Caenorhabditis elegans: one gene and its partner. The protein of the gene in region 2 purifies or fractionates together with the protein of the main gene of each other region. This does not show direct contact. Each region holds a gene or a part of one and is shown on either strand. Other genes may lie near its edges.

What was found.
Region 1: the proteins of ppk-3 (region 2) and sacm-1L fractionate together in Caenorhabditis elegans (co-fractionation; one large-scale study listed by BioGRID). This does not show direct contact.

The regions. Positions count from the first base shown.
Region 1 is NC_003279.8:9,483,153-9,493,120, reverse strand, and holds sacm-1L (Phosphatidylinositol-3-phosphatase SAC1), read right to left. Parts: upstream 4,634-9,968; 5' UTR 4,625-4,633; coding exon 4,468-4,624; intron 4,421-4,467; coding exon 3,886-4,420; intron 3,647-3,885; coding exon 2,976-3,646; intron 1,135-2,975; coding exon 811-1,134; intron 733-810; coding exon 623-732; 3' UTR 501-622; downstream 1-500. Other genes in the region: F30A10.3 (Kinase), read left to right, coding at 6-86, 134-178; Stomatin-like protein stl-1, read left to right, coding at 5,095-5,141, 5,191-5,326, 5,369-5,527, 5,592-5,899, 5,981-6,305; gly-21 (GLYcosylation related), read right to left, coding at 6,581-6,756, 6,801-6,931, 7,133-7,242, 7,286-7,431, 7,868-8,021, 8,096-8,561, 8,610-8,710, 8,930-9,049 and 1 more; F30A10.15 (uncharacterized protein), read right to left, coding at 9,604-9,898.
Region 2 is NC_003284.9:12,967,125-12,978,717, reverse strand, and holds ppk-3 (1-phosphatidylinositol-3-phosphate 5-kinase), read left to right. Parts: upstream 1-3,074; coding exon 3,075-3,153; intron 3,154-3,202; coding exon 3,203-3,328; intron 3,329-3,502; coding exon 3,503-3,616; intron 3,617-3,668; coding exon 3,669-4,004; intron 4,005-4,195; coding exon 4,196-4,464; intron 4,465-4,522; coding exon 4,523-5,116; intron 5,117-5,275; coding exon 5,276-5,770; intron 5,771-5,817; coding exon 5,818-5,909; intron 5,910-6,226; coding exon 6,227-6,862; intron 6,863-6,919; coding exon 6,920-7,130; intron 7,131-7,288; coding exon 7,289-8,023; intron 8,024-8,260; coding exon 8,261-8,661; intron 8,662-8,823; coding exon 8,824-9,076; intron 9,077-9,293; coding exon 9,294-9,455; 3' UTR 9,456-9,768; downstream 9,769-11,593. Other genes in the region: F11C1.4 (Lipid droplet-associated hydrolase), read right to left, coding at 1-213; F11C1.9 (uncharacterized protein), read left to right, coding at 1,167-1,307, 1,355-1,474; F11C1.10 (Photosystem reaction center subunit H), read right to left, coding at 866-994, 1,486-1,626; frpr-2 (G-protein coupled receptors family 1 profile domain-containing protein), read right to left, coding at 9,987-10,215, 10,266-10,377, 10,854-10,981, 11,038-11,129, 11,177-11,282, 11,331-11,389.

The DNA of each region.
Region 1 (9,968 bases), on a different chromosome or scaffold from region 2:
TTTAGGATCTTGCATATTCTGGTGCCGACGAAGGATGCCTTCTTGGTCTTGATAGTATTGTTGAAGCTATGGAACCTATTGTTTCGGTGAGAATTCAATTTTAGTATCAACTAAATCTATTTGTATTATTCAGAAAGATCCCGTGACACCATCTTCATCATTCGAGAAGAAAAAGTAGAAATGTTCCTGAATATTTAAAGTATATTTTATCACTTTTTTCCGTCAACTTTTAATGACATCCTCCCGATGTAAAACTCCTCCCGTTTGTATCATTCCCATCTGATCCCAGTCAATTCATTTCCTCTGCATCTTACCCATCTTTCTTCTCTGCGTCGTTTCGTTCTCTCCCCCCTACCAAATGGGTCTCATTCAATTTTTATTTTTGTTTTTTCTTCACACTTCATAATGTGTGTTGAAGAACAAAACCAAAGAAATTTGACTGTGTTACAGTGCCAAAAATGTATTACTGAAAATAGTTGTTCTCTCTGCATAATAAACTTGTTAGTACAAACTTCATCTACAATAAATAAACTCTCTCTTTCTACAACGCGAAAAAATAAATACACAAAAAAGGGGTGCAACTTTGATTGTAGGAATGAACGGTTTTCGGACAGATATGGCATTAGTCCAGTTTGAGCTTCGGAGCATTTACAAATTCTTCGCCGTTCAAAAATATGAACATCATACAGACAAAGAAAATGACCATCCAGAAGATTGTTGCGGTGAAGTTGTCTGAAAAAATGTTTTTTTTTTGAAGGATTCGGAATATTATCGAGTATCGTGTGCAATAGTAAGTGATTAATATAGTACCTGCAACCAAAAGACAAAGAATTGTCATTGACATGGCAAACAACGCGGCAATAAGGGCAAGACCATTCTGATCCGTTGATAGAATCGAAGATTCCAGCGAAACAGGAAGATCTGACGAATCGACTAGGAAGTTACCAAGGAAGAGATCAATTGAATCTTGACGGTATCCATCTCCAAAATTATTTCGTACGTAACGGGACACTGCATTGACACCGTCTTTCATTGCTCCAACATATGTCCGTCTTCCGTGACGAGTGAAATCTGCTTTCAATGCGCCTGTTCCAGCATATTGACGACTACATTCATCACCATTATCTGCCCACACTGAAACATATTTCAATAGAAGTAATTGGTATTTGAAACTATACTTTAAAATAATCTATGCTCTGACAAGATGACCAGGGGTGTAGATTTTCCATTTTTTGGTTTTTTTTCGTGTTTGTGGCAATAATGTTATTTTTTGCATTTTTTTTTGGCAAATACTGTTTTACTACTTGATTTTTTACTACGTATCTCTTTTACTACAAGATCTCTTTTACTACGGAATCTCTTTTACTACGAATTCCGCATTTAGATCTTTTACTACAATTGGCTCTTTTACTACGTGTTCTCTTTTACTACGATTTGATCACATAGATCTTTTACTACGGAAAACACTTTTTTACTACCTTATCTTTTACTACGTGGATGTTTTACTACGTTTTACTCTTTTGCTACGGACATATTTTTACTACGTGGAGGGATACTGTTAGGTTACTGTAGAAATTTATTCACTATGAAATGAGCTTGCTCTCTTGTAAAACTTGTAAAAATTCCAGAAACATTCATGACATTTGCAAAATCCTCTATAAATGTTTCTCAAAAGATTTTCTGAAAAAGAAAAATGTAGGTCCGATACGTTTGAGAATGCAGTCTCGCTAAACACTCTTATCTCGGTCGTGTCAAAAAGATTTCAACTACAAAGTTGTTGAATATAGCATGGTCTACAATTTGTCAGTTGAACATTTTTTACCAAATTCTTTTCGCGGAGTTATCGGTACTCGGAGTCAATAAGTTTTGTGAACACACTTTCGGTAACTTATCTCTGTTGTTTTAATCTAAAATCGTGATATGAACATTCAAGATGATAGAAAACAATAAACTGCTTATTTTATACAAGATTTGATAAATCCAGAAAAAAACAAATTTTTGATCAAAAGTTCCAAAATTTCAGTTGAAGTCAAAATTTCAAACATCTGACAGATAACTGACCGAACCGCAAGTTGTTTATTACATTTTTAAAACTTATACATCAACCGGTATGGAACTAATTTTTTGGTTACGCGAAAAAAGTTAAGTACTCCAACAACAGTATCACTACAGTAACTCAACAGGATCCCTCCACTAACTCAATCTCAGTATCCAAAAAAACTGAAATTTACTAGAACTACTTGAGCACAAACTTCAATTGTGACCTATATATTTTTAGAAAATATTCATGCATTTGTTTATATCTAGCTTATACTATAAATATTGATTATTAATTCGTAGTAAAAATTACGCAACATAGTTAAAAATATAATCCCTGCCATTGTATTTAGTAAAAAATTTTTCCTAGTGAATATATTTCTAGCAATTAAAAAAAACTATAGTATATAATCTGAAAACTGTTATTTACACAATACCACTACAGTAACCTAACAGTACCCCTCCACGTAGTAAAAATATGTCCGTAGCAAAAGAGTAAAACGTAGTAAAACATCCACGTAGTAAAAGATAAGGTAGTAAAAAAGTGTTTTCCGTAGTAAAAGATCTATGTGATCAAATCGTAGTAAAAGAGAACACGTAGTGAAAGAGCCAATTGTAGTGAAAGATCTAAATGCGGAATTCGTAGTAAAAGAGATTCCGTAGTAAAAGAGATCTTGTAGTAAAAGAGATACGTAGTAAAAAATCAAGTAGTAAAACAGTATTTGCCCATTTTTTTTTGAAAAATAAGTGAGCGAAAATGATTGATATACTGACACACTCATGAATCTGCGAATTCAGATCAAAATATTGAGTTTTTTTGGAATAAAGTTGTAAACTTTACATATTTTTTTCATTGTCAGTTATTGATCTTCTAAAAAATCAACCTTCGATTTCAAACGATTTTCGTTTTTCAAAAAAATAACTTTGATTAAACTCACTTTGTTTGAATGCATCTTCAAGAAGTGGAATATCTTGAACTTTCTGCTCTGAATATAAAATTCCAAGCATTCGAAGTTGTTCGGTGAGTGATTCACGTGCCAACATCGACTGAACCACATTGGTACGATCTAGACAATCCATGCAATTCGTACGGAAAAATCCACGTTGGAATCGACTTGTTTCCATACTATTCGGGGACAAGTAAAAATATCCAAAACTCGAAATTTCTTGGCTTAACTGCTCCCGCAACAAATCAATTCGGTGCCATTGCATAGAATGACATTCTTTGTGAAAATCAAATTGATGGTAACGAACAAATTCGATATTTGCTTGTCGTGATATTCTCTCCAGTTCTCCTCCAACTTTTTTCTCTCTTCCTTTTTGATTTACAAGATTTACAATCACATGTTTACCACCATAGTGTTGCTTGTGCCACGAAAAAGCTCGATTGAAAGCAGCAAGCTGGTCATCTGTTGGTTTCAGTGTAGGCATCGGTTGCCAACGTAGATTTGGTTTTTGAGTCCAGAGAAGAGGAATAGAACCTCTCAATTGCACAAACGAAGTCAGGTGCTTGTCAGGATTCGTGTATTCAACGATTTGTTCTGTTTCAACAAAGTTTGCTGCATGACCATCTACGTCGACTCCACGTTTATAGAAACGGACGCCAGCACTGAAAAATTGAATTATACTAATAGTTTTTTTTTCAGAGAAAACTATGAAAAAACATGAAATTCGTACTAAAAAGGTTAATAATTATTTAAAACTAATATATCTTGGATTCAGACAAAACATTTTTGTGAAAAGCGAGCTCGTTGTTAGAAGTATTAATTTTTTGTCCAGAAAATCGAAATAAACGTTTTTTTAATTATTACAAATTTATTTAAAACATTTTTAAGTAAAAAAAATTACCGATAAATGCTTCTTCTGGATATGATAGTCAATTTAATCTCTTTTCCATTCACATTCACACGATTCTGGCCAATAAAACCATGAATAACGGGCAATGTGTATCTTTCTGCACCAGGGACCTGCCGGATCTGTGACAGTAGATGTCCATTCCATATGAAACGTTCGCTGGCTCTGTCCAACATACTTCTTGTTTTGAACAAAGGAACAGCGTTCTCCTGAAGCCATTGAAATGTGCGTGAGATGTCAAGAGTCGTCGAGTAGTAGAATCCGCCAATAGACAGCACATGAGTGAGCATATCAGTGAATAATCTATTATATCTAATTTGTTTCTCAGTCAAGTGAAGTGTTGTTTTCTTGTAAGGAATAATCTCGGCATCTTGAATAGTCCAGATGTTGTGATTATTAACTTGTCCGATCAAAGAAGCCTTTGTTATTACGATCAAAGCATATCCTGAGACTAGTTTAATTGTTCCCAAAATCCCATAAATAAACTTGATGTCCGTATCAGCAATTGGAACTCGCTGCTTGCGTGAATCTGTAATTATAAATTTATATTTAGATCAGACCAAAAGTCAGACTTACCAATAATTTTCATCACATTTGTGTGTCTATCGATTTCGAGATAATGTTTCGACGCAGCACCACCGCCGAGATCGGTTGGTTCTAAGAAGAATTTTTCTGGGTGTGAGTACAAGTTGAAACTCTCGTAGATGTCCATACTCAATAGACTATCCACCATTTTGGAGAGCTGAAAAGGGAATGAAGTTTGTTGTGGAAAAAAAATATGAAAAAGAAGAACGACGCATGAAAACAAAAAAATCAATAAGAGATACAACAATAGTGATAGAATACATGAAACATGTTTTCTTTGAATGCGAAAACGTGGAAACGGGTGACGACACTCCGTCTTTCATATGGGAGCGTTGTTTACCGTAAATCTACACAGACATTATTTTAAATTAATTGTATTTTTATTCTTTATATTTTTATACTTTGTGAACGTTTCGTTTCTTAAAAATTGAAGAATAGTGGTGTTTATATTAAAATCTCTCAGTCCTGATGTAAATGTGCATATTTTTAATCTATCTCTCCCACTCGGCCACCACCATGACGAAATACTTTTCTGCCATCCTCCTCCCACTAATACATTATTTAAACTGCTGAATCTTTCGAAATTGCATTGCATCATTAAAAATGATTTTACAGAAAATGGCGCTAACTAATCGACTTTTAATGAATTCGTCAGCTCTTCTAAGGTAGGCCGATAAATTAAATTATTGTGAGGGGGGCAATTATATTATTTAGAAGTTCAACGCTCCCATTAGCTGTGACATCATCACGACAGGCCCATGCTGCACATAATACTGTCATCAATTTTGTTCCACAGCAAGAAGCGTGGGTTGTAGAAAGAATGGGAAAGTTCTACAAGATTCTTGAACCGGTAACATTTCCTAAAAGGTAATTAATAAACCAACTTTTTCAGGGACTCAACTTCTTATTGCCTATCATTGATAAAATCAAATTCGTTCAAAATCTTCGTGAAATTGCAATTGAGATTCCTGAGCAAGGAGCCATTACAATTGACAATGTACAACTCAGGCTCGACGGAGTTCTTTATTTGCGTGTTTTCGATCCCTACAAGGCATGTGACGCCTGTTTTTTGATTCGCCTGTAATTGAAAAATAACACTTCTTTGTAAATTGCAGGCATCGTACGGAGTCGATGACCCAGAATTCGCAGTAACTCAATTAGCGCAGACAACGATGAGAAGTGAAGTTGGAAAAATCAATTTGGATACAGTATTCAAGGAGAGGGAATTGCTCAATGAAAATATTGTATTTGCAATCAACAAAGCATCAGCACCTTGGGGAATTCAATGTATGCGATACGAAATCAGAGATATGCAGATGCCATCAAAAATTCAAGAAGCTATGCAAATGCAAGTTGAAGCTGAGAGAAAGAAAAGAGCCGCGATTTTGGAATCAGAAGGAATCAGAGAAGCTGCCATTAATAGGTATAATATTTTTCCAATTACACATTTCATTCAGTAACATCGTGAGAGTTGTAAAAATATTCTAAATTTAAACATTTCCAGGGCCGAAGGAGACAAGAAATCAGCTATTTTGGCGTCTGAGGCTGTTCAAGCCGAACGTATCAATGTAGCAAAGGGAGAAGCAGAAGCAGTAATCCTTAAAGCCGAATCTCGTGCCAAAGCTATTGAACGTATTGCATTGGCTCTTGAGAAAGATGGAGGTGCAAATGCTGCTGGATTGACCGTTGCAGAGCAATATGTTGGAGCTTTTGGAAATCTTGCCAAGGAATCAAATACTGTTGTTCTTCCGGCAAATCTCAGTGATCCAGGAAGTATGGTTTCTCAAGCACTTGCTGTTTACGACTCATTGAGCAATAAGAAAAAGTGAAAATGTTTTGTTTGAGTTTATGTGCAAGCGTAGTTTCCGTTTCTCCATTTTCATATTTCCCTGTTTCTAAATTTTGGTTTACTGGTATTTGAATGTAATTTTACATCATCTTTTCAAAAATCTCTTGATTGTTCGTTATTCTAAATTTTCAGCAGATGAATTAGTTGAATTTTCATTTGAATTCAATTTAAAATGCAGATAACATGATTTTCAGAGGAAAACTGTTTAGTGAAAAATTTGAAAATAATAAACAAAATTTTCTTTAAAAAACTTGATCAACATTGAAAACTATTCTTGTAATAAGTTCCATTAGCTTTCAACAACATCTCACGAAACTGTGGAAAGTAGGAAAGCCATTGAGAATCTGGATTATTTCCTGTTTTATTGGTTTTTATCATTTCACGAACGCAAATTATCGTTCCAAAATCGAAGTTGGCGGTCACTTTGTTTGCTGAAAAATCAATTTATTTATAAACATGAATGTTCAAAAATCACCAATAACCATCGGACTTTTTGAAAGTTCTTGTAGAAATTCGACTCCAATTACACATATTGAATGCCTTAACCACTTGGATTTACAATCTTGATATAGTCCGTCGGATTGTTCAAGATGCCAATGAGTTTGACTGTAATTTTCAGTTTTCTATTTGCAATGTAAGCCTGCCTTCAAGGTGACCTACACGAGCCTGATTCTGCACTTGGTACACTTGGAAATTATTATCATTAGAATTTTCAAGAGAGTCAAATAAAGAGCAAAAAAATAGGTGACATGCAGACATGAGGTAGGCAGGCACAAACAAATGAAGGCATGCCTATCCTATACAAACCGTGTTAATATATCTTCCTTTGCCACGGTACAATTAGATTCCATTTGCCCATCTAATCCCAAATAGTTTTCAAAAAGTGTCATAACCATCATTTCGTCAACCCCAAAAAGCTGAAATTGAATATTATTCTCGTTTTCAAGAGTAGAACATTACCGTTCTATCATCAAATCTTTTGATTACATTTTGCAGATTCACTTTATCAAATAAAGACTTGACAAATACCTTCGAAAGGATTACTTCGTTTAAACTTTTTCGAATTTTTAGTTTTTTGTGGAGTATTTCCAGAGGTACACTTTGTTCTGAAAATAAAATTATGTTACTCTGTCATGTAATTTTTCGATATAAGAATGCGGCACCTCGTCTCAAAGGCCTCCAAGCAAGGAGTACTGTAGCATCTCAAGTCTACAGGACCTTAAAGACGCAAACCTGTTCGTGCTGTTCGATTAGAAAATATTTTGTACTTTTTGTGAGACTGGTTTAATTAAAGACGTTTTGCACTATAAATCCTAAAATTTAAGTAATGTGCAAAAAGAAAAAAAGCATAAAAGTCTAGGCGGCATCAGCCTTTGGAATGGTTTTTTAAAATTTATTTTTTTATTTTTAAGAAATAATTCAGTCGGCTCAAAGAAGTTTTGGTACTTTTAGGAAATGTTTTCTCATCTCTATTTTGTACTATTCTCTATATGAATAAATGTAGTCTATCAAAATTATAAGCCCACATGAAAAAAGGAAAACCATTTTTGAAAAGTTTCATTCCAGCTGGAGTCCAATCTTCAAATGTTCGATATCTACTTGTAAATCCATAGTCAAAACCCATGATACTGGTGTAATTTAGAATTTCACTGAGATCAGATAGTTGTTTAGGAGATTTGATTATCAAGTCGAAGTTCTGAAAATAATATTTTTAAAGAAAGAAAACTGAAAAGAAGAACAATTCAGAATTTCAAGAAAATATTTTTTTACCTGTAATGTAATGGCATGACTCCAATGTTCATCAAGAATTTGTTTTAAACAATCAAAATGTGCAGCATCTTGTTTATGACCAGCTCTATCCATATCATATTCTTTATCCAACACAATCACATTTTCAAAGCAATCAGCCATTATTCTCATAGATTTCTTCAATTTTTCACTACTTTTTGAATCCATTGCATAACAGAAATAGTTATCCGGGTGATATGAAATGGATAGAAAAACCTCTTGTAATTCATATATTCCATAGATATTTCGAACAAATGCAATAGGTCTTTTCAATTTTTCAAATGGAGGCATATCTCGAAAAATACGATTTTGAATTGAATCACAATCCATTGAAAGTTGAAATAATTTCTCTTCATCTAACTTCATTCTTCCATTATTAACATATGTGTCAATGGACTCCACATCTCCGTCGATTAGTCTAGCACAATTTAAATATCGACTTTCAGATCTGAATAGTTTTTTTTTTAATTTCAAAACATAAGTAGGTTTTGCATACTCTGTAAAATAATAATCTGCGAATTTCGTGATGCTTCTTGTTATATGCTTCAGAGGAGCGCGCTCTTTTCCAGATAATCTCACGATAAATTTGTTCGGAATCTGAAATTTATGAAATTATGAGAAAGAAATCGGTCAATCAGTGGTTCGCGGGGCGTGGCTAACATTGCTAATTGGTGGACACAAGAACTTTAATTTCAAAATTTTTTATTATTTTTCAGATATTTTTTCTGATTTTCAGCCTACGTTTTAGTGAAGTTTATTTTGGAAAATATCGAAAAGTTCTGATTTTTCCAAGTTTTATTTATTTATTTTACTTACCATCATTGATTTGTAGGAAACTGTTAGTAAAATTGAAAAAGAAATTAAAAGAGCTATAAAAATAAATATTCGAATTGACCATTTTGGCTCCTGAAACTTCTTCAGAGATTCGTCCGTATTCTGGAAAGAAATGCATTTTCAACATGCGAAAAGCTTGATCGCTCAAAAAATTTTAAAACCTACATCACTAAGCCTAGTATAATGAACCATTCTTTTGCATTGAAATTCAAATAAAACTAACTATTAAAATTTGAAAGTGTCCTCAGTTCAGTTCTGAATGCTTGCGTTTTGCAATTGTATTTTTTTTTCATAAAAAGCTTCACACAATAAATGTATAAAAAGCTTTGACTTTTGAGGATACGCTGCTGTACATCAAGTACATGTGTAGCCTATACTCATATTTATTTATTATTTATTACTACATCCAGTTCTCTTCACGGGCGGGACACTGATACCTGCTGCTCAGCAGAAAAAGCCTCGGAAAAACTTTAAAAAATTCTAAGGCGCGTGAAGGGCTCTTGAAGAAGGGCCACCGGGAATATATCGGTGGTAGAAGGGTGAGATGTCTACTTTTAGAGGACGTATGTCTTAAAATAATAAAAATATTCCAAACATTTATTGTACACAAATAAATACTTACAATATTAAATCTTGACAATTTTTAAAATTATAATTCAATTATAACTTAAGTTATAATTTTGGAAAGTTCTATTAATCAAGAGGTTCTCCTGTAATGAGTGCAGCATTGAATACATTGGCTTCTTTTTTGGAGAATTAACTGGTGAAATTGTCATCTTGGTCTTCGATTCGTCAGTTGAATTATCCCTGGGTTTCACATACTTCAAATTCATAAAATCTCTCCAATTATTCAATTGCACATTTGAAGACCACGTAGATAACTGAATGGAAAATTCAATGAAATTGATTTTCAGATATTGAATTGTCCCATTGATTGTGATAGGATTGCTCCTGAAAATTAAAAAAAAACAATTTTAAGTTCTCAGACAATGTGAAGAAACTTGATGAACTTTATTACTTT
Region 2 (11,593 bases):
AAGAACATGATTCAGATGTGACAATGTGTAGAACACAAACTGGACGCGTCTGGTGCCAAGTCGTTCCTCGCGGGCAATCAAATTGCGGATCAAACGTCGTCCAAAGTCCGTGTAGAATCCATCATTGCCAGGATTGCCTAGAACATGTGTAAACTTGATAATGTGGAGTGGAAATAGAACCAAATATGCCAACAAAAATGGTGAAATATTCATGTTGATTGATAGGTCTAAGATATGAAAGATAGACAAGTGCAAAAACGCCAAAACAGAAAATTGTGTTCATTGAATGTGAAAGTTCAAAGAAACATTAAAGGAGGACTAACAGTTCGGACGATTTTAATTGCATAGACCCAAAATGAGAACTAATAAACAAATTTCGTAATCAAACATCTCAAAAATTGAAAAAAAAATGTTATGGCCGTTCAAAATTTCGAACAACCTATTTTAGGAACCACTAAAACACAAATATTAGTTCCAAAGTGATCTGGAAAAAATTCAAATTGTATGACGTCACACATTACAGAATAAGTTGAAAATATGTTTATTTTGGCTACTTGATAACCTGTTGATTTTTAAAGAACTTTATAGTTAAGATTGATGAATAGTTTTTTTTGGTAGTAGCCAGCTTGCTTTTTGATGAAAATAAATAACTCGGCTCGAGGAATATATGCATGTTTTTTTAAATGTAAAGCATGACTTTGTCACACAAAAGTTGTTTTCTTTCATGTTCGTCCCAAATGAACTATTTAAAATTTACAACAATTACAATGTCCTCTCACAAACGAAAAAAAGATCTAACGAACTATTAGGGAAAATGTGTTACTAAAAGCAATTTACATGTTCTAAATTTGGTTGAATCGGATTTTCAAATAATTATCTTTTTGAAAGCCCATGAAAAAACATTATCTGGAATCATAAAAATAATGATTCGTTCATCCTTCTCTCCTTGATTTTCGATCGTCAAAATGTCTGGTGTCAGAGATGTTCCCATTATCTGTAATCAATTCATGTTTACATAAAAGAATACGAAATGAGCACCCCTACGCGGCAAAGAAGTGAACAAACACATTTATCATAAAATCGATTTTCTGCCCATCTTCAGTCTATTATTCCTCATTGTTAAGAAATAATATAAATTAAACGTGCTAGCATTTGAAAGGGCCATCATGAATTCAGATAATTCAAATCGACGATCATATCTATTCTTTTTTCCGAAAGTTCGTTATCGCACCGAAATTCAGAAAACTAATCAGATTTCTATTTTTGAATATGTCAGCAGAACATTATTTGCAACGTGGTGGCAACCAGTAAGTAATTTTTTATGTTCCTTTGCAAATTTTTGAAAATCTTACAGCCAATTGCAAGTCAAGAAACTACTACAATACGAGATACAACTACTTCTACTACTGCTGAACTGGAAACTGCTCCAGAAACTGCTCTAGAAGCTGTGGACGAACCAAAATGGGACCTGTAAGTTTTTCTTACCGACATTCTACTCCACCGTCCGCTAACTTCAACCCATTCCACATTTCTCTGTATATCAATCATATTCACTGAACCGCGAACTCTTCCGGTCACACGATCAATTGGAAATGAATCTATTTCGTTTTCTTTTGAAAAGCTCATAGTGAATACTGAAATTTGCCATATGGGGAAATTGTATTTAAAAAAAAAAATATAATAGAAGCAAGAAATTGTCAACATGTTAATAAAACATAATCTGCATTTTCAGATAGTTAATAAACTTAGAAAAAAAACGGTATTCTCAAAAATTTGTACGACTCTCAGTAACTTGCTAAATAAGTAAAAAGGCAACAAGTGTGGTAAGGTCGCGAGACTAGCCGGGGGCCGATTTGAAAAATGAGTAGGAGATGGTCTCTCTAGAGGGTGTCCGGTGCCGACGAGATAAATATTGGGCGAATTCACTTGGGGGCGTCGCCGCGGCATCTTGGCGGGGCTCACAATTTTTTCGATGCTCAGAGATCAATGGTGACATGCCGTGGCCAGTGAGAAAATTTGAACGAGGAAGCATGTGAAAAGTTGGATAATATAATTGGTACTTTAATTAGCATTCCAGAATTGTAAAGCATGACATGTGAAATATTGTTCTATTATGACGACTTATACTTCGGTTAATTTCAGTATTAGCAAAAAATCTGTCAAAAACGTAGAAAAATATTTGCACATATTTTGTCGAAACAGTTACGGTAGAGAGGAAAATGTATATACATAATGTCATTTAATGCTCTTCTGGATCTCGTCTGGTCTTAAAAGCATTGTCTGTCATGTATTTTTTGTAGGTTGAAATTGAAAATTGTCTTACTAAAATTTGTTATTTATTTCATAAATAATTACTTTTAAACCTCAACTTCACTCATAAGAACAGCAATGCTTATGAGGAAGTATTCGTCATAGTTTGGTGGTACTGATTGAAGCAATACAGACATTACAGACTCATCACTGTGACCAGCTGCACATTGCGCAACACGTTTGCAGTAGTGTGGCAAAGTTGCATCTGACATGCATTCCCAGTTTTATTTGATTTTTGTTCACGCTCCTGGTGTTAATTTTATTAGTTGTGATCGCAGAGCATGAGATTCTGCTCTTTTTTTGGTTTTTGGTTTCCCATACATTATTGTCGATTTTCGAGCGGAGTTGAGAATAAAACTTAGAAAAAAATTGCACTTTTTTCAATATATATAAGAAAGATTTCGCAATCTTTTCTGAAATATCAATATGAGTTTTTTCCCGGGAAATAAACAGCGAAACATGGAACACTGCATGTACACACCTTGTTTTTTTCCGCCTATCCGTCTAATTGCGCGGGAATAACTTTTCTTTGCTGACCCAAAGAGGTCAGCAAATGCGCTCCTCTGCCAACACCCTCCTGTTTTAGCACAGTCTCTCGCTAGCAACACTGCCTCCGCAACTTGCCTGTTTTGATGGTTTGATCTTTCTTTCATTTCCCCATGCCGCTCACTTGGATCTCTTCCTTCTTTTTCTCCAATTAAATCTCTCTGCTAGTGCTTTGTTATATATTTATCCAAATACTCGGATCTATCAATTCCAGAGTAATGGGGGATGCCAGCGAGTTGCAGTTTTTTGAAAAACTCGAGCCACCACCAGAAACAGAAGAACCAACACCAGTTTCCGGTAAGTTTTTTGTGTGATTTGAATTATTTTTATTAATAAAAGTTGATAGTGTCTTCAGGTGGTTACTTTTCAAACATTATTGGGCAAATATTCCGAAGCGATGGATCGCCGCAGCCAAACGGAGTTGTGCCTCCCACAGAAGAAAGACAGAACTTGGAGAGGACGGAGTCTGGAGGTAGATTTTCATCGACTAAAAATATATAACAATTATTTTGTGCATTTTTCGGAGAAACAAATTTTGCAATTCATTTCGATTCTGATGAATTGTTTGATTTTAATAACTCTATAATATAAAAACATCGGAAATTTTCTTATTATCTGATCGACAAACAATGATCCTCTATTCCAGAATCCCGAACATCCGAAGAAAGTGGCTTTCAAAGATCTTTAACCGATAAGTTCACAGGATTACTCAAATCAAAAGTTAACCCGCAGCTCAAAGACTACAACGACAGCAATTTCAGTAAGTATTTCATATTCTATAAGCACTCTGACGTCAATTCAAATTTTTTTAGAACAATACTGGATGCCTGACTCAACGGGAAGAGAGTGTTACCAGTGCGAAGAACGGTTCACAACTTTCCGACGACGTCATCATTGTCGACTTTGCGGACAGATTTTCTGTGCAAAATGTTGTAGTAGTCACATTGACGGAGCAGCTTTGGGATACATGGGCGAGCTCAGACTTTGTGATTACTGTGCTCGAAAGGTTCAACGACTTGCCGAAGAGGGAAAGCAGACGCCGACGACGTCGACGACAAGAAGTCAGACGCCAGTGAACAGCAGAAAAATTAGCTTTGATAGGAATACTGCACACAAGAATTCGGATACTGTGAGAACAGTTTCGAATGGTGAGATTTTCCGATTCCAAGAGGGCATTAGGATTCTTAGTTTAATTTTTTATTGTCTTTTTAAAAATGTATCTACGAGGCTTGAGCTTTCAAGAACACTGGCAGTTGTTCATATTTTCACAACGACATAACTCTATTAGTTTAGCTAAACACAAACATTCTACATAGAAATTAAAGACAAATAATTTCAGGAGCTATTTGGTCACTCTGCCCCCCAGAATCGTCGATGCCTCCGGAAATTACATCCCCACCTCAACTTGGAAGCCGCCGCAACTCGTTGGCTCAAAGTAGCAATGGTCCAGGAGTTCCGACAATTCTATCAGTTGCGGATCTCTGTGCATCAAACTCGGCTATGCTCACAAACAGTCATTCCCATCCAATGATCACCGAGGAAGAGGAATCGGGACCAGACTGGTTTCGAACAATGCATCCTGGAATGGACGGTGTTATCAACAATGAAGTGAGGAAGCTTAAATATTTAATTGTGGAAATAATTTATTATTTTGTTTGACTTTCAGACTTCCGACTCAGCTGATGTTTTTGCGTATGCAAATCTCGCTGGAGCGATAACCAACGAGTTTACAGAAATGATGGATGCCAGAGCTGCGGAGCCAACCTCAGCCACTACTGATCGTAAAATCACCTTTCCGTCCCTGTCACTTGATGAATCCGTTATGAACGCAGCGAAGGAAGAACAGCGGGACAATTTGGAAGAGTTGTTCCGCCGAAATACTGAACGAATTCTAGACGAAGTGATGAAACGAGAGTACATCCGAGAAGACAAATGGAGAGATCTAATTCTGAAGAGTGTCTATGAAGTAGTGGAGAATGTAACTGTGAACGTTCCAAGTGGAGACACAATGAATATTGCTGACTACGTACACGTCAAGAAAGTTCACAAGAAAGAAGGGAAAGTTGATTCGGAAATCATTTGGGGAGTGGCTTGCAGTAGAAGTTTAGTCTACAAAAGTTTGTCAGAAGAAGATGAAAGCAGCCATACGACCGAGTCAATTATGATTGTTAGCGGTTCAATTGAATATGAAAGAGTCTCAAACAAACTTTCATCTATTGAGCCGATTATTGTGCAAGAAGAGAAATTTTTAGAGAAGCAGGTGCGTATGTTCATGGAAATAGTCATTAACTGTGTGTGTGTCAGATTTAGTTGCTAATCTAAAAGTTGACAATATGAATAAGTACCACACGTCTGAATAAATGCACTTGTATTATACAACCATTGAAATCGAAACTAAATAGAATAAACAATTTTCCAGATTGATCGAATTGCCACCAAACGTGCTTCATTGATTCTAGTGGAAGGAGGAGTCTCGCATATCGCTGCTCAACTGCTTCACAAGCGTGGAATCAAAGTAGCGGTCAATGTGAAAATGAGTATATTACAACGTATTTCAAGAGCCACTGGAGCTGATATTGTCTCAAACTCAGATTCTCAGTTGGTTGAGCAAAATTTAGGATGTTGCCCGGAATTTCAACAACGGAATATGCAACAGGAGGACGGAAGGATCAAGACTTTGATGATCTTTGCTGATTGCCAAAAGGAAACTGGATGTACAGTGCTCTTGCATGGAGATGATTTGAAAGAATTAGTGGCCGTGAAACGTGTTGTGCAGTTCCTGGTCACTATTGTCTACTCTAATTACTTGGAGCAATCCTATCTAAATGCTTTTAATACTACAATTGCGAGGAGACAATCTGATTGCGTTGTTTGTGAAAAACGCCGTGCTATCGTTTACTCGCAGGGTGAAAAGGTTGATGGTTTATCAACATCGTTTCTCATATGTTTTTGTATTTTCAGACTGAATTTGAAAAGAATCTCTATGCGACGATGCTGTCAAGCTCACCAGTGATTGAATTTGAGCCACCACTTTTGGAGACTGCAACCGGGAGGTGAGTGAAAAGAGCGCCTCATAAAAATCTGCAAACACGGTCACGTCAGAGTGCACACTGCGGGCAATTTATGAAATAATCATATTAAAGCAATTGTAAAAGTTTTGCCTAACACAACACTAAACCTAGCCTAACATAGAAGTTTTTTAAAAATATATTTCTAGCATGAATATCTAATCAGTTAAAAAGATTAGTTTACAATTCATGAAAACGACTTCTATTCATAAAAATATTTTTCAAAAACATGCATAATTTTTCAACATAGATTCAAAATTAAATTTAAAAAAACACCAGAAAAATTTATTCACAAATTTCAGGGAATGTCCGCTCATTGCCTACTTCAAGCAACCACTGTATAAACTTTTAAAGCCTGGCGATGTTGAGCTCATCAAGCAAGGATACGAAGAAGATATTGTACCTATCCCAAAGAAAGAACCACTTCTGGTAGACCGTCGACACGCTTTTGCTCAATGTAATCGTGGTGCGATCCTTGACAATGTGGCAAGATCTTTCCGCCTTTTTGGAGGAATCAATTTTCGGCGACGAACTGCTCAAATTGTGAAGCATAGAAAAATTGTGGAGACCGAGAAGCAGCCATTCCGTGCAAAGGATGTTTTAGATCCAAGAGTTCATCAGACACTTGCTGTCCTTTTTGGCTCGTTTTCTCGAAAGTCACCCAACGCTCCGTACTTTTGTGTACGTCCGTGGGTGGTAAGTATGCAGTACTACAAGGACCATGATATGACAATCGGAGAGTTTCTTGTGAAGTTCTGTTTTAATCGTAGTTATGAATGTCCGTCATCAAACTGTGAGGTACCTATGCTGGATCATTCAAGAAAGTTGGTTTATGGAAAAGTTTGCGTAGAAATTTCAACTCAAACTGTGAACGAAGCAGAAAACGCCATAGAATCAGAACAGCAGAAGAGCATCATGACATGGCGAAATTGTGGAAAGTAAGAACATTATTTTCGCTTTTATTAAACTTTTTTTTTAAATTTCGTTATTTTCAGATGCAACTGTTCATCACAAATGGTGAAATTTGACAAAGCAATCTGGCATCTGTCGTTTGCAAAATTCTTAGAGTACATTGGAAATTCGTGCTTCACCACCGACACAATCTACCCAATAACTAATCAGAATCAATGCTCGCATTGCTTTTTCCATGAAAAGTTGTACTTTTTTGCAATGGATAATTTGGTGACAACATTCAAAGTAATAGCGGTAAGTTTTGTTCAACAAAAATTGAAGAAACAGAAACATACTAAAAATACAAAGTATTTAATTTTTAAATAGTTTTAATGTTTGAGAAGCGATTTTTTATTTTAATATAAGCATACTTTATAAAACTTTATAAAATCAGCAAAGCCTTATATTTTCAGATACGCCCCTACAGTGTTGTCTTCTCGCCCATCATTTGCAGCGTCAAGGTTTTGAAAGTGAGCAGAAAAGAGCTCTCGGACGATGTCAGCAGGATAGCCACTCTTGCGCTGACTGCTTGTGAGGACACCAACAAACAGCTGGCAGAACTTGATGAGGAAGTTCAGATCACTCCGATAGTTGTCAAACTGGCTGGTGCAATCCGGAACACAATGGCATTGGCAAGCGAGAGCAGGATGTTTGCTAAAAACATTCTCTCTGGTGATGAGGATCTTATCCGGTCAAATGATCGGTTGTACAGAGAAGTAACTGGCACATTTATGAAAGTGAGAGAAGTAACATACAATCTGATTGCTCTTTGGAATGAGAATTGTGCAGCAATTAAGTATCCCAAGAGAACTCCAGAAGATATTCAAGAGATTGCCACACTTCAAAAACTGGAAAATCCGTTTCCCTCTCATCTTCACCTTGCCATCAAGCTACAACCCAGACTTGGAGTAGTGGTACGAGATATTCAAGACACTCGAGGAAACTTCAAGCCAGATATTGGGAGTATCATTGCATACGCATTGTCTGCAGTTGACTACAATAAGATCCCTGAGGCAGCTGACACTGTTTCAATGGACTCGGCTAGCTCTTCTCTGAAATTTTCACAGATGGATGATGGGGAAAACCTCGCTTCTAGTCAACACTTGGAGGTGGAATTTGAGGATGAATCTGCGTCATACTATGTGAAAGTAAGTCTGCTATATATTATGAGAAAATTCCCTTGTAATCTCACCCTCAATTTTTTTTGTTTTTGTATATTGGAGCCTTTATTTTCAGATGCCTCATTAAAAAGTGCAACATTTTCAATTGGTCTAGGGCACATATAGAATATTAAATAAAGTTGTTATTACGTCTAGACGCTGAAAATAGATGTAATGTAAAAAAATGGGCCTTAAAATGTGACAAAATTATATCAATTTTTTCAGATGCTGTACGCCGAGAAATTCCGAAAACTTCGTGAACTTCTCATTGCAGAAGGAGAAGAGACTTTTATCCGTTCCCTCTCCAACAGCACTTTCTGGACACCACAAGGTGGAAAATCCGGCTCATTTTTCTACCGCACTCAAGATGATCGATTTGTGGTGAAGCAAATGTCACGGTTTGAGATTCAGTCATTTGTAAAGTTTGCCCCCAACTATTTTGATTATCTGACAACGTCGGCGACCGAAAGCAAATTGACGACCCTGTGCAAAGTATATGGAGTGTTTAGAATAGGATACAAGAGCAAGACGACTACATTGAAAGTTGACATTCTTGTAATGGAGTACCTGTTTTACAATCACAATGTTAGCCAAGTCTGGGACCTGAAGGGCTCTCTTCGGAATAGGTGGGTTATAGGTATATACTGATAATAATAGTACAAATAACCAAATTTTCCCGGTTGTTGTATTTAGATAATTTCTGACGTACTTTGCTTTTAAGTGTATTATGACTAATTGATCATACATTTTTTCTTTGTGTTTTTAAAGATCATATGACGTTTTTTTAGACTCGCATCGACTGGAAAAAGCGCCAACGAGATGGTTCTTTTGGACGAAAACTTTGTGAAAGACCTCTGGAATCAGCAGCTCTATGTGCTGCCGCACTCAAAAGCGGCCATGAATCAAGCGATCAGCAATGACAGCCACTTCCTGAGCTCTCAATACATCATGGACTACTCGCTTCTGGTTGGTGTCGACGATGACAACGGAGAATTGATTCTGGGCATTGTTGACTACATGAGAACGTATACGTTGGATAAGGTCAGTGTTTGAACGTTTAACTTTGCGATAAACTCTGATTGATTTCTGGAATGAACATGACTTTTTGATGAGAAGTTTATATTGACGTAGAGCTAGGTAGAAAATTGACAAAAAGATAGAATAGATATCGACTTATTTTCTACCGTTTAAGTCTGAAAATAAAATCAATCCTTTAAATTTCCCATACAGTCACTTATTTTGAATAAACAATTTTCAGAAACTCGAATCATGGGTGAAAATCGTTGCCATTCCCGGAGCACACTTGCCAACAATTCTGAGTCCGGAAATGTATTGTGCCAGATTCTCGGAAGCCATCGACTCGTACTTTCCGGTTGTACCTGATCAGTGGACTGGACTCGGATCAATTAGGTCTTATTAATGTATAATACCCGGTTTTCTTGTGTAAAAACCTGTTTTTTTAGATTAATTATTTTTCTAATTTTTATGTTCAATTATTTATGTATGATGGCTATCACTTTCTCAGCTTTTTGCCCGGCAGCCTCTCCCCGTCTACCAATTCACTTGTTGTGATTCTCAACAACCGGGTTGAATTTTATTGTGTACAGTTTGTGTTTATTCCCGTGGCAGCCTTATTAGTTTGAAATCATTGATGCTTTGATACTGGTCTAACTTAATTTCTGTGATTCACTTCTTTCTCGTATTCATATTTGTTGAATGAAATTATTTTATTATCGAGATTTAAATGTTTCACTTCAAAATAGAAATAGAAAATGAATACACAAATGATAACCCAACAAAGCAATTGACACGTGATTTTGGTGAAGATCATAATATATGTTTGAACAATTTCAGAGATTCATAGAATCTCTAGAAACCGTATGAAAAGTTTCAGAAAAGCTAATTACATGGCGATGAATACCGGTAAAAACTGTTTGTAATTGAAGAATACTCATATGCTACTCGCAACCGGATTCCTATTGAAAAGTCGTATTCTATGATCATGAAGCAAGGGTAATCTCGTCGATTTTGGCCTCCACAATTGCCGAATCCGCTGATAAAATGACGAGCGAAACTCTTCCGACGACCCCATGTATACAAAAAAGTTGGCCGTCGCATTGATAACCACCAAAAAATTTCCAATGTCAATGAGCACTGCTTCTGTTTCAAATGCCATATTACTGAAAGAAGAAAAGAAGATTATACGGATTATATGATGAATACCGCTTACAACTTGAGCATTTCAAAAACATTGACTAGAAGTGATGTCAAATTGCAACAGAGAAATAGGAGAACCACTAGAAGAAGTACAACCGGATTATTGCCCCCGTCATCTTCGCATTCTGAAAAAAAGAAAATAGTAATCATTTTTAGGCAGAGATTTTCGCAAGAAAAATAGTTTCTAGAATAGAATTCACTTTGAGTTTTTCCAAAAATAATTTAACTGGAGGCTGAAACACATGCAAAACAATTTGAAGAACACCTTTTGGTTGGGTTTTCTCATTTCAAAAAACAGACCAAAAGCAGAACAACTCTGTGGCCTAACATCATTATTTCCAAGCCAGACATATTTATCAACGTGGTCCCCTATTCTTTTTCGTTAAAAAAACAACACAATTTCACATTTAAGACAGCTTGAGATGATTATAAAAACACTCAGATGAGGCGCAAACACAATCTATGAAAATGTATAATTCAGTTATAAATGGGAGACACAACGTCTCAGCGGCATAAAGAACTAGATAAACTTGCATCGGATTACCAATTCTATTTTCAGAATTGTAGGAAAAAATAAACGGTTATTTTCCTTATTTCTCACCTTCTTTCTCTGCCTTGTCCATGTGCATTGTTTCGTTTTTCCGACGAAGCATTACAATGATCGAAACAGTTAAAAACGTGAGAAGTACAAATGGGAGAAATGCCATTGAAAGTGCATAAAGATATCCTCTGAACAAGTTTTTTACATTGAATAGAAGTTTGAAATACCAGTCCAAGTTACTTACTTATACACAATGACATATGTTTCACTGACCCTCATTTCAGTAGGGCATAACTCAAAAAGTGTGTAATTGTCCGGGTGAAGACATTCAATAGCCTGCAACAAAATGGATTCTGATTCTATTCGAATTTCAATTGTTGTACCTGCAAATCTCCAAATTGAACAATATTATAGCCGGCCACCGAAATGACGACAAGCGCGAGAACCCGTGGAGCCCATGTGCTGCGTTTTGGCTCGCATTTTGTTCCACTGGACGATTAAGTTTGAATGGTTTGATTAATGAAATGAGGAACTTACCAATATACAGAATAGAAACAGTCAAATGCAGCCAAAACTGTGATATATACACTGAGCATCTGAAAAATCGGGATGTTAGAATCAACAATGTGTTAAGAAATTAACTCGAATCCGGACGTTTTGAAAAAATATTTGATACGATCGTTCATGTATAATTTGGGGGGGGGGGGCAGATAGCTCAGTTGGTAGTGGTGGCCGCTAGCAGTCTGGAGGTCACGAGTTCAAGTCCGGCCTCACCCCCTAGGTTCACCCACCCTCTATTG